Linked DNA regions of Caenorhabditis elegans. The protein of the gene in region 1 interacts with the protein of each later gene in a pairwise test. Each region holds a gene or a part of one and is shown in the gene's direction. Other genes may lie near its edges.

Evidence for each region. The genes of interacting proteins can lie anywhere in the genome.
Region 2: the proteins of rsd-6 (region 1) and rsd-2 interact in a two-hybrid assay, tested with the Caenorhabditis elegans proteins (one study listed by BioGRID).

The regions. Positions count from the first base shown.
Region 1 is NC_003279.8:8,357,850-8,365,400, reverse strand, and holds rsd-6 (Tudor domain-containing protein), read left to right. Parts: upstream 1-1,542; 5' UTR 1,543-1,559; coding exon 1,560-1,657; intron 1,658-2,076; coding exon 2,077-2,366; intron 2,367-2,448; coding exon 2,449-2,626; intron 2,627-3,038; coding exon 3,039-3,184; intron 3,185-3,416; coding exon 3,417-3,768; intron 3,769-3,813; coding exon 3,814-3,913; intron 3,914-4,224; coding exon 4,225-4,477; intron 4,478-5,179; coding exon 5,180-5,381; intron 5,382-5,651; coding exon 5,652-5,793; intron 5,794-5,843; coding exon 5,844-6,068; intron 6,069-6,593; coding exon 6,594-6,677; 3' UTR 6,678-7,147; downstream 7,148-7,551. Other genes in the region: tbcd-1 (Tubulin-specific chaperone D), read left to right, coding at 1-130, 181-459, 638-925, 983-1,177.
Region 2 is NC_003282.8:13,537,234-13,542,245, reverse strand, and holds the start of rsd-2 (RSD-2 domain-containing protein), read left to right. Parts: upstream 1-1,980; coding exon 1,981-2,099; intron 2,100-2,587; coding exon 2,588-2,884; intron 2,885-2,931; coding exon 2,932-3,069; intron 3,070-3,571; coding exon 3,572-3,706; intron 3,707-4,563; coding exon 4,564-4,696; intron 4,697-4,751; coding exon 4,752-4,894; intron 4,895-5,012.

The DNA.
Region 1 (7,551 bases):
CAGTATGCGTGCCATGTCAACAATTTTGGTTGATGCGAAAACGGAGCCACCATTCCTAGATGAACATGTCATCAAATCTGCAAAATATATGGTTCAACAGAGTGCAGAACGAATTTCACGAACTAGAGAGGTACGGCTGCCTTAAAGTTTAGAATATCCACAAAATTTGCTCATTTTCAGTGTGCCTGTGCCTGCCTGAAATCGCTCGTCAAATGCGAAATAACGGGTCGCTGTCTTCCACATATTGATCTTCTCATGAACATTTATTCAGAGCCAATGGATTTTATATCCGATCGAACTGTTTTTCAGTTGAAACCTCTTTTAGATCTTGGATCCGAGTATTATGAACAATTAATATTGGGTATTGTTGTATCAGCAGGTGGATTGGCAGAAGGAACTCAGAAAACTGCAAAGCAATTGCTTTTAGATCATCAAAGAGAAATTTGTGAGAATAAACCGGTGAGTTTTTGTGAAAATAAATAAATCTCTAACATTTCAAAGATGCAACAAAATTTTATGTGATTTTAGAAACTCGTTTGTTTTTATTCACATTGGCAGAGTTTTTTCTGAGTTATCTCAAATTTTGTCTAAACAATTTTTAATGATAATTTAGTTAACTCTATTCGTATTAATTCAGAGATTCGATCATTTTCTATCGACATGTGCTGATCTTTTTCAACGAGCTCGTAAAGTGAACCGAATTGGGAACAGTTTCATGCAAATTCTACCACAAATATTTGGAAATCTTGGAATTTATGAACAATGTCCAGAAACGTCTGAATCAATTATTGAGATGGTGGATACAATGAAAACAATCGCAGTTAGATCATCAATGATGTCACGTCAGAGGCTATCGATTGATTCACTTGGAGAATTGTTGAATTGTGGGAAGAAAAGTACAGTATACAGATCTGCATTAACTATGGTATGTGACAGAAGTCGAGGTTTTTGTCGAACTATAACCCATAATTTCTTTTTTCAGATCCTTGACACTCTTAACAGCCAACAACCAGTTCTTCGTAAATCTGCCGCCGAGAGACTCTACGAGCATCTTTGCTGTGCCGAGGAATCAGATGATGAAGTATTAGAGGTTCTTGCTACAACAAATTGGCAGGATGAAAATGATAATGTACTGAAACAGGCAGTCGCTGGAATTTCAGAAAAATTGATATTTTAATTGTGATCCTATAACGCTTGTTGACATATTTTTCAATTTTATCGCTTCGTCTAGTTTATCTTTTTACTTTTTAATTTTATTCAAATTTTTGATATTTTACCACTCAGAATTTGATACTTCACAGTGATTCGCGTTTCGTCTTCGCCAATTTACAACTGACAGGACAGACACAAAAATCATTCATTGCGTGTTATTTATGCGGCATTTTGGCTCTTATTATCTATTGATCTCATTTTGTGTTCAAACCCAATGAAATATATATATTGCTTGTTTAATTCATAATTTTTTGTTTGTCTAAGAACTGTTTGCAACAGATTCATTATATATTTTTTTTTCATTAATGTTTCCAAAGGACACTTTTTCAGCAGGTTTCTAACTCGACATGAATGAAAAAGAGCTGGCGGATTCTGTTTTTGGAGGTCTCATGGCTAAGGCCATGGGAAAGATGGTACATGAGAGCGAAATCTGCCCTCTTGTCGAGTATGATTTTATTTTTTTTAAATTATTCCGATGCAAAATATTTTGAAAAATGTGCTCTAAAAATACGATTACCTGTCCCGACGCGATCGATTTTATTCAAATATTTTCTAATTACAAAAGAGTGTGCGGCTGTCACTCAAATAAAAGTTTTTTTGGATTCAAAACTTTGGAACAAAAAATAATTTTTTAAAAATTTATCGCTTCTGAACTTGGGCCAATTTTATTTTTGTTTTTCTGTCAGAAAGAACAAAACAGGATATCCCTGTTGATAACGTCAATACTGCTCTTTTGCATAATGAAAAGCAATCGTGTCGAGACCTCGGTCCGTATTTTTAAGACGAAAATCACAAAATTTCCGCATCTGGATAATACCAAAGTTATTGAATCTTTTCTGCAGAAAGGAAATTTGGAATTTTCAGCCAAATCGAAGGAAAAGGTCAAACAAACGAAGAACTGCAAGGATTGAGATTGAGTCTCAGTGATTTGCTCTTACGTCATCCCGATAAGTTCATAAATTGTGGAAATAGAAATTGGAGACTTAATCAAAACAATCATGCTTTCCAACAGTTAGCCGAATCGATTAGTGATAAGAAATCGGGAAAAGGTGGAAAACGTTCGGCGAGAGGTGGATCAAATCTTCCAAGTTTCAATCGAGCACGTAGTGGTGGAATTCCAAGAAATCACAATCAAACGCATGGATTTAGACAAAGTTAGCATTATCCTTAACGGTTTTTTGCAATTATTTTCGGAATAATTATTCTTAATCTATTTGAAATAATGAACTTTTTTAGGTGCACCGGCTCACCGTGGTCATCATCGTCCACCAGCAGGCAATCATGGATCATCATTCCGTCCAAATCTGAATATTTCACAACCTAATCCATCAAATGATTATTCGAAAATGACAGGCCTTCATTATCCTGTTTCCAGAAACGTGCTGGCGTCGAACAACGGCTCGAATAGCAGATTGTAAGCTTTTTTACTGTGGCGGCTCCAGAACTAGCGATCAGAGAATTTTGCAAAGCCGCGGTGCTGTTTTCTTCAGAATTTTATTTTGAAAATCTGTTATTTTCCAGGCGTTTTCTACCTTTTTGTATTTTTTCCTAACGCAGAGAAATTAATTTTTCCAAACGGATTTCCGTATTTTTCGCGTTTTTGGCAAAAAAATTCTTGAAAAAAACGAAAAATTCTTGAAAACTGGCGAACTGACCCCTTAATAAGGATATATATTTCAAAAAAATAAAAATATATATAAATTAAATCTGTACCCCTTCAGAGGTGTTCAAAAATTATCTAAAAAATTCACGTAGTGTCCGTTCTTCTGAAAATTGACTGAGCGTTTCAAAACTCTTCTTATTCGATAAATTTCACAATTTATCAGCTCAAACCAACCACCTCGACGAGAAGATCATCATGAGAAGATGATCATGAGGACACCATATAGAGACCCTTCTCCACGACGCGGAAACAATTATGGAGACATAAGAGGACGTCCAGACTCTCGTGATGGATATAATGGTGATAGAGGTTGGATATTTATTTATTAAATTGTTAACCGAAAAATGATTTCAGTTTTATTTATAATGTTTTCATATCTTCTTAAAATATTTTTAAAAGTGTATTTTACTGAAAATCATAAAAGTCTTCAAACATTTTGTTCATGTCAAAAAATTTATGAAAAATTGAAAAATCCGCAGAAATGGAAGTCTAAAATTACGATACTATTTAAAGGCGCACACTTTTTATTTTAATTTTCCAGATTCGACTCGTTACTCTTCGCCACGCCGCAATGAGCAACCAGGAAGACCGTCTTCTCGTGGATCGAATATTTCCGATTACTCACAATTCTCCAGTGACACAAATGCAGAATCAAATACAGAACGACGTTCTCGTCCAGATGCTTCATCACCTGATCTTGCTGATCTTGCTCGGAGATTCAATTCGTCGTCTATCAATGTACAACCACAACCATTGGAATCAGTAGCCTCTAGTGATGTTTTATCAAAGAAGATTGCAAAGGCCGTTCGGAAGATCATGAAAAAACTAAACGAAGGCGAAAAATTGTCACTGGAAAATTTATTCGACGAAATAGAAAGGAAGAACAAAATTTTGTAAGATTTTTTTGAAATCAACAGATAATAATAAATTTCTTGTAGAATACCTGGAAAGAACGGTAAGGAGAAGGAAGACTTCTTGAAGGATCTCAAGAAAATAATGCCTAAATTGCTTTCCGCTTTGACTATTGACACTGAAACCGTAAGTTTTTCAACGGCTAGCATGAAATTCTAAAAAACTTGATTAAGATCCGAACGAAAATTAGCGTAAAGTGGAAAAATTGCTTAAAAAAATTTTTTTCGTACGAAAATAATAAAATGTGTAGGGCTTTTTGTATAGGGCTTAGGGCGTCTGTTTATAAATTTTACGTTTTTCCAAAAATTCGACAAAAATAAGATTTTCCGAGAAATAGCTCAACATTTTTTAAAAGATTTACATTAAGCGTTACTATTAATGAAAACTCTGGAAACTTTTGGAAATTAATATGATTTTCCAATATAAATATATTTCAGGGCGACCTGACTTGGAACGAGGCAGCAGTTACCACAGATTCACCAATTCATGAATATATGGAAGATGACCTTCATTATTATGTTGTTGATTACGTCAAAATGTTGGATAAGGCTCGATTTAGAGTCACTGATGAAGCTGAAAGATTGTCGAATGCTACTGGAGTCAGAATGGAACGTACTTGTGAAAAACTGACATATGTATTATTCATCACATTCGAAGGAGAATATCGTTATGCGTCGGGGAGTAAGACTGGTAATTCAATTTTATTATTACGAAAACATTAAATTCTGCGAATGCGTATTGCACAGTGTATCTGACGCGCAAAATATCTCGTAGCGAAAACTACAGTAATTATTAAAAATTACTACTGTAGCACGGATGTCGATTTACATGTTCGAAAGTGAATACCGTATTTCCTCTATTAGTCTTGCATGCAAGACTAATTTTCAATCAACCCGTAGGGGTGCAGGACTATTAGAGGCTGCAAGACTAATTTTCGAAAGCCCAATAACTTTGGAAAAGTTACCAAGTTTTGCTGAAAACTTAACTTTATACCGTTTAAGCCATGAATAAGCATTCCTTTTCAATATTTCATAAGTTATTTAATCACTTTCAAGTTCAATTTATCTAAAAATAAAAAATTTTTGAAGTTTCCTCATAGTATAGCTGGCCAGGATAAAACTGGGGTTCAAGACTAATAGAGAAAATACGGTATCTTTTCGAATTGTGACAGCGAAATTTTATTCTCCTGTAATGTTTGTAGTTTTTTGTCAACTGGAGGCTGTTTTAAAATGTTTCATCAATAAATGATAAAAACAATACAAAATCGGACCAGCGCTTCAGTAATCACCTGAAGGATTACTGTAGTTTACGCTACGAGATATTTTGCGCGATACGCATTTTCAGAATTCAGTGTTCCCGTATATGCAAATATCTAAAGAAATTAATTTTCAGAAGTGCTCAAGATTTCAAAAATCACAACTGTCGGCGATGCACCTGAATTCTATCAAACTTCTTTTGAACATAAAATCTTTGAAAATGTACCGGCAAATGCACTTGTCAAGTGTGGAATTGTTCGATATCAAAATGTTCAAAAGTTTGCAGTCCGTCCTGAGGAGTATATAAAACCATATGAAAAGATGAATCAAGAGATTCAGTGAGTTTTACTCTTACTCTTCAAGTACATTATTTTCTGATTAAAACGTTGCTCAACTGTGACTCCCTGAAATTTCGATCGAAAATATTAAAATTAATTGATTTCGCTACTTTCAAGTTATTCCGAGTCGCTCCAAAACTGGACATTCTCAGACTTTTGATGATGTTCAGGAATGGGCTCATATATGTATTTAAAATCATCGAAAATCTACGAAAATCCACTCTTGGAACATCTCTACTTTTAATCAGAATTCAATATTTTTAATTTCAGAGACTTCATGTCTCAAATTCGAAATGAAAAGAGCGTGCCATTTGAAATGTGGAGACCAAATCATGCGTGTTTAGTACAATTGAATGATTCAACAACTATTCTCAAATGGAGTCGTGCCATGATCATAAAAATAGAGACGCAGGTAATAAATAGATTGTATAGGTTTCGATTTTCTCATCCGTTTACTTTCAGCTCATTTTTCTGTTCATTCTGGACAGTGGATTCCGAAAAGTTGTACCAAGTTCCGATTTGAGATTAATGCCGCAAAAGTTTGCAAAACTACCACCATTTGCAATTCCTTGCACTCTCGATGAATCAGAGGATGACAAGGATAATATTGAATTTGGTGGAAAGGAATATTTATCCAATGGTCCTGGAAATCTCAGTGTTACTTGCAGCGGAGCCGCAACAGCCTCTGTAAGGGTTTTTAATCATTTAGGTGTACCATTATTTTTAATAAAATTTCCGTTAAGTTGCCAAAATTTAATTGAGACGTTGGGATTTAGCTTTAAATGAAAGAAAAACAACTTTAATTTTTTGGAAGTACTCCATTAAAAAACAATTTTTTTTCAATTTTGCTAAAATGGAAGAATGTGCCAATTATTGTTCAACTCCGGCGCAAATAAATAAAAAAAAACCTAATTTTGGCTTTTTTGCGTTTTCTGACTAATTCAAAAATAGGCTTAATCGATAGTTTTTTCCTGTAAATTTGAAAAACGGTGTTACAAATTAAATATCGGAGAAAATGTCTAGAATCCCCGATGAATCTATCTAGAAAACGCAAAAATCTCAAAATTAGAGCACTAAAGATTATAATTTTTTACACAATTATATTTTGTCATTACAGTACATTTTCCATCAATTAAAGCAATCCCCACTAGACTGTATACTCCACGTTTGAAACTTTCAAAGAATGGAAAAAATAAATTTTTAAAATTTCAGGACGGGATCCTCACATATCCAATAAAGTTATTCTCTACATGCCACGGTGGACCCTTGACGAATATCAAAGACGTCTTTATCTGAACTTCAAATCATGTTTCTATCTAAATGTTGTCGTAGAAACGGACCGAAACACTCATTTCACAAATTTCTTTACTTTTTTGCCGAAACGATGTTTCAAGACTTCGAGATTTTTTTTGTTTTATGCCCGTTTTCTACTGTTGTGGTGTTATGTACGATCATCTATGATTCCTGTCAAAAATGCAGAATTCCCCCATTTTTTCCCAACTAACGTTTTTCTATTTGTTTTGATCCCATACTTTTCCTTATAGTAGTTTGGAATGTATATCCGAATTTCAGAAATTCCGTCTAAAAGCTGCAACGTTTCTGCCCATCGCTCAACTTGCTTTCTGTTCACCCTTTCACTCTCAAAGGACATTTCGAAACTCCATACCGTTATTCCTTTTCTTAACCCCCTTCTCACACAAATGCTGAGCCCATTGTTCTGACCGTTTTTTCTTCAATTCTTGGAAGTATAAACTTTTTGAGTATTTATTCACATCAAACAATATACATGAGATAACATAAGTAAGAAATATAGAGGTTCTGAGATCAGGTTAAATCGGTAAATCTAGACAAAAATGTAAAGTTCATAATTTCGCAGTTTTCTGAAACGCGTATTTAGAGGCGCACGGATATATTCGGAAAGGTCTGGCCACGAGAAAAGTTAGGAAAGTCCGACTAAAAAACGTTCAGTTCCCGTTTATTCATTTTCCTGTAGTACGTTTCTATAAATATCTCATGTCCAACGTTTTTGTTTTTTGAAAAACGGCCCCGAAAAGATCGAAAAATACAACTATAAACTCTTGTTTCGCGGCGAGATCCATCCAAATGAACCCTTGTGCCTTTAAGAAGGTTTCTCAGAAAATTGCGAAAAATATAATGAATAAAATTGTCT
Region 2 (5,012 bases), on another chromosome or scaffold:
TTAGGGAATTTTGTGACAAGTGAGAACATGGACCGACATCTACCGGGTTTCTTGTCGTTTCGAATATAGATTACTTTTATTTTTAGCTTAAACTTGTGAAAAAACAAAAACAGTTTGCCCGTCGTTTGGTGTCAGGCTGTTGCGAAATCAGTTGAGAACTCTGCGTCTCTTCACCCGCATTTTTTTAGATCTACGTAGATCAAGCCGAAGTGAGACACTCTAACACCACGTGCGGTCACAGCTTGAAGGTACCGTGAGCAACTGGAAAAACATTGCACTATACCCCTCTTATTGCTTGGCCTAAAAAATTACATATCAAACTCCTCCTCCTCCTGGGAGGACACCTATTTCTCTGCGTCTCTCACCGTCTTTTGACTTGCAGCATTATTCATTTCCTGCCCGTGATTATTTCCATTTCCTCTTCTTTTCCGTGTCTCCATTTTTTGGAATATTATCTATTTTCATTCGATTTCCAACGTTTCCAAAAAGTTAGGTTTTGCTACTTGCTGAATTCATTTCAGCTGAATATTGCTGAATATTCAGCTGAATATTAAATTTGGTAATTTTCCCGAAAATAGGCTGTAACCTATAGAAGTAACTTTAATAGGATTCCAAACTCTCTTTGATAATGGAAGAATGACCGGAAAACCCTCGTTTAGCTGTTGATTTAAAATTCTAAAGATTTAAGAGTTTTTGGACGATTTTTTTCAAAATTAAAATTGCCGATTTATGTTTGTTCATGTTAAAAGTTATAGATAGATTTAAAAAAAACTCTTTTTTGGCTACAGTAACTTCTTCAATCAGAACTTGTGGCAACAAGCCTTCCAAGTAGGCAAGAAAATTCCTGCCTACTTCATGCCTACATGCCTACTGTCAAGCTATAAAAAACATGGTACAAACTGTAGGCAGGCGTGGTGTGGCTACGTAGGTATGAGAATGTGTCTATCGTAGAGGAACCGATCAATTAGCCTAGTGTGATATAAGATTAGTATTTCAAAAAAAATGTATTGGATTTCTTTATTTTTTTGTATTTATGGTGTTTTTGCCATTTTAGTGCTCGGTAACTTGTAACGAGCGCAATAAAAAATTACATTATCAGGTTCAGGCCTAAGGTCATCTGTCGTAAATCATGACAACAGAGCAAACGACCAGTTGTCTATTTCTCTATTCTCTCTCTTTTCTCTCTCTTTTATTCGATTTGAAAGTTGCTTTTTTTTTTGGTTTTTTTTTCGTTTTTTCGTAGAAAGTTTGGCACTTCTTAACGCCTCAAAAATTAATATTTAGATCAGATAATAATCTTTCATAACTGGACAGGTGTCTGAGGTATTACGAAAATTTGAAAAAAAAAACATTCTACGCGACCTATTTTTTTTTCTAATTTATAGGTTGTTCTATGGTAGACAGGCAAGTTCTGATGCCTACACCATGCCTGAATGTAGGTCTACGTGCCTACCTCACGCCTACCGGTACGCCTACCTGCCTGCCTACTCACCTTACGCAAAAAAGAAAAATACAAAAATATCCCATACCTCACGCCTGCTTGCATACGTGGTTACACTTTTGCCTGATTTCCGGTGTTTCTTTTAGTTTACCAGTAGGCATGTAGGCAGGCATTTTGTGGAAGGTTTCGGGTTCAAAAATTGTGTTGTTTTTTATTTCTAAAAATTTGTTTTTCTCGCCGGTAACCTGTTTCTCACACTTTGATCTTTTTTTTTTGTTTTTTTTTGTTTTTTCTTTGCACACAGTCAGAATGTCTTATTTCGGTTTGATCTTCAAAAAATGCGGGAGGTGAGACGCAGACGTCTCATCTGATTTCGCATGGATGAGAACGTGCTGACGTCACAACTTTTCTGGAAAAATATTCCCACATTTTTTGTAGATGAAACTGTAACGAGACAGTCTGACACCACTTGCTTGAATCTCTCGTCCCCCCGTCATTCTAACGCTATTTTTTCAAATTTTTTGTAATATCTCAGCATAATGTCCTCCTGCCGAGTACTCATCCTGCACCATGATCAAGAAAATGACGTCTTTGGCTGTTTTAAAAGGGAGAGCCACGAGTTCTTTTGGGCTCGCATCGAAGGGCAGCAACAATTGGAGTAAGTTGAACACACCTTTATGAGTGGAGATAGAAGAATGGCCGTGAAAAAACTCTAACACGGCCATGTGTCGATTTACGCAGCGAGTGTTCTCCTCGAGGAGAAGGTTTTACAGATTTTGAGTGGAAATTGTCGAGTTTGAATTTTTTTTAAATTAAACACTTTTTAAAATTATTAATTTATTTCGTAAACGTAGGCAAGTTGTTGCCCACTTCTGGGAAAAATTTAAATTTTAATTATTTTAGGTTGTTAAACGCGCTCTATTGATGAACCGTTGTGTACTCCATTTTTTCGCGTTTTTCTTACACTTTAAATTGAAAAAAAAAGATAAATAAAATATTAATCAGCAATTTAAATCTGAAATTTAAAACAATTTATCGGAAATGATCTACAATCAAGAATTTTACTGCAAAAATTAACAGTTCTCCACGAGGAGTACACATACAGCGTAAATCGACACATGGCCGTGCACTTTTATCATTTTTCAGGCCCCGGCCAGGTTTTTTCCTGACCTTCATCGAAAATGAGGTGATGACAGAAGATGGGGTAATGAAAATTGATGCCAGCACCTCAACCATCAAAGAACCTGAACCGGCAGATTGTGTAATCCTACCCACTCATACAAATGAACAGGTCGTATATTACAAGAGCTGGATAGCTTTCGGTGACAATCCGAACTATCTCACCTATAACAGAGATCTGGGGTACGCGGATTGGTATGGAATCGTTGATTGTTCGGATTCTCCACCTACCGGACCAGGAGTTTATAAAGCGTTCATTTATGTGTACGTTTTCAGGGGTTATCATCCAAAAAGTCGATCATTAATTGCAGAAATGACCTAAACTACCAAGAAAGCGGAAATCCACTTTTCAAAGTGACCGGGCGACTCAAATTTTTGGCAAACAAAGACACATCTGACACCATGATGAAACTGGAAATTTTCGAGCAAAACAGACTTGAAGAATTAAGGTAATTTTGATAGACTTTCGTGAATTTATCTGAATTCTAGACCTGAAAATGTTAATAAAAATTTCATGTGGGCTACAGTAGTTGTCCGTGACTTTGCGTCACAGTGTTTGCACACGATGATTTGTTTTTGTTTTTTTTGCCTTTTCAGATTGTTCTCATCTTGAAAGATGTTTTTTTAATATTTTAAACGCATTTTTCAAATGAGAAATCTGATTTTTCAACAAAAAATGCTGTATATTACTGATTTTACCATCCTAAACTCGTCAAATTTGATGAAAAATCGAGTATTTTCAAAAAAATTTGGTTTTGAAGGCGTTTTTCGGCGCAAAAAGCGGAATATTTCGTATTTAGAGTTAAAATATTTATATTTTTCTTTTTTTCGAGACGCAGACGACCACAGCCTTGAATTTTCCACGCGCATCCCCTTCACACACACACATAAACTTCAGTTTTTCTCGCGAAAAGTGCCTCAAGATTCGCTTTAAAATATGGAAATTAACAGGTTATCACCGAAAAAGATGAGCGATTCACAAGTGATCGCAATTATTCTATTTGACAACGAGGAGACAAATTCTGCGATCTGTTATTCTGAACAATTGGAATCTTCAATAAAAGTTCATCTTCCAGTCGGCTCTCCGTAAGATTTTATGTATTTCTAATCGAAAAATCGTGTTTTAAATCATTTTTTACAGTAAAAAACTGGAAAACTCGAATATCCGGGGTTTTTTGGCGAAATTTTGCCAAAATTGCCAATTTTGAAGCATTTTTCTGTGAAGTTTGCGTTTTTTATATGACGTTTTCACAGAGAAAATGGTTTTGAATTTAAATATTCTGCTATCTCTTAATTTTCCCTAAAAAATCAAGTTTTTTCATGAGAAATCGGGAAAATTTGAGTCTCAAGGGAAAAATCTCGGAAAAAGAGCGTTTTAAATTGAAAACGAGCAATTTTTACTGAAAAATCGGGATTTTCAGTTAAAAATTACAATTTCGAGCAAAATTACTCAGTTTCCGCCGATTTTTCCGGGGTTTTTTCTTTTTTACCACTTAAAAAGTGGTTTTGAGCTGTTCGTGAGCTTTCTCCAATTTTAAAGCATTTTTCTGTGAAATTTGCGCTTTTTAAGACTTTTTCACAGAAAAATAGGTTTTAAATTCAAATATTCGGCTATTTCTAAATTTTCCGTCAAAAAAATCAAGTTTTTAGGTGAGAAATTGCTGAAAACGGGATTTTTTTGTAAAAGATCTCAGAAAAAATGTTTTAAATTGGAAAAGAGCAATTTTTCGAGCGTATTTCAGAAAAATCGGAATTTTTCGTTTATTTAGTCCAGGAAATCCAATTTTTGCGTTATTTGATGTAAAAAATAGCATTTTCGAGCAAAATTATCAAATTTCCCATGATTTTTCTCGAATTTTCACACGAAAACCTCGAATTTTAGGTTTTTACCACTCAAAATACCGTTTTGAACTGTTCCTCAGTTTTAATTTCCAAATTTTCAGAGCAAAAGCCGGTCAACTCATACTTTTCACCGAGTACAACTACGAAAATGATACATATTTCCCTGATCCCCGGCCGGATGCTATAGAATACAGAGAATGTGAGATGACGAGAATTGAAAATGGCGAATTATTGGTTAGCTTTCTTCTTTTTTTTCGATATTCAGCAATATAAAATGGTATATTTTCAGATCTCTGCAAAAGCGGCATGTTCATCGATTGAAACTCACATTACTTATCCTCAGAGTGTTGCATTTGCTGATACATTTGGAAAAGTTAATGTTGCAGCAGAATCGATGGAACGAGGTGTCACGTATAGAGTGGAGTTGGCAATGTGTGTATTTTTATCGAAATTGGTGGAGCGAAATCTCCTGAAAAAACGGCTAAATTTGGCTGAAAATCACCCTCACAAAAAAACTTAAATTCGCATTCTTACTCGAAATAGGGATAAA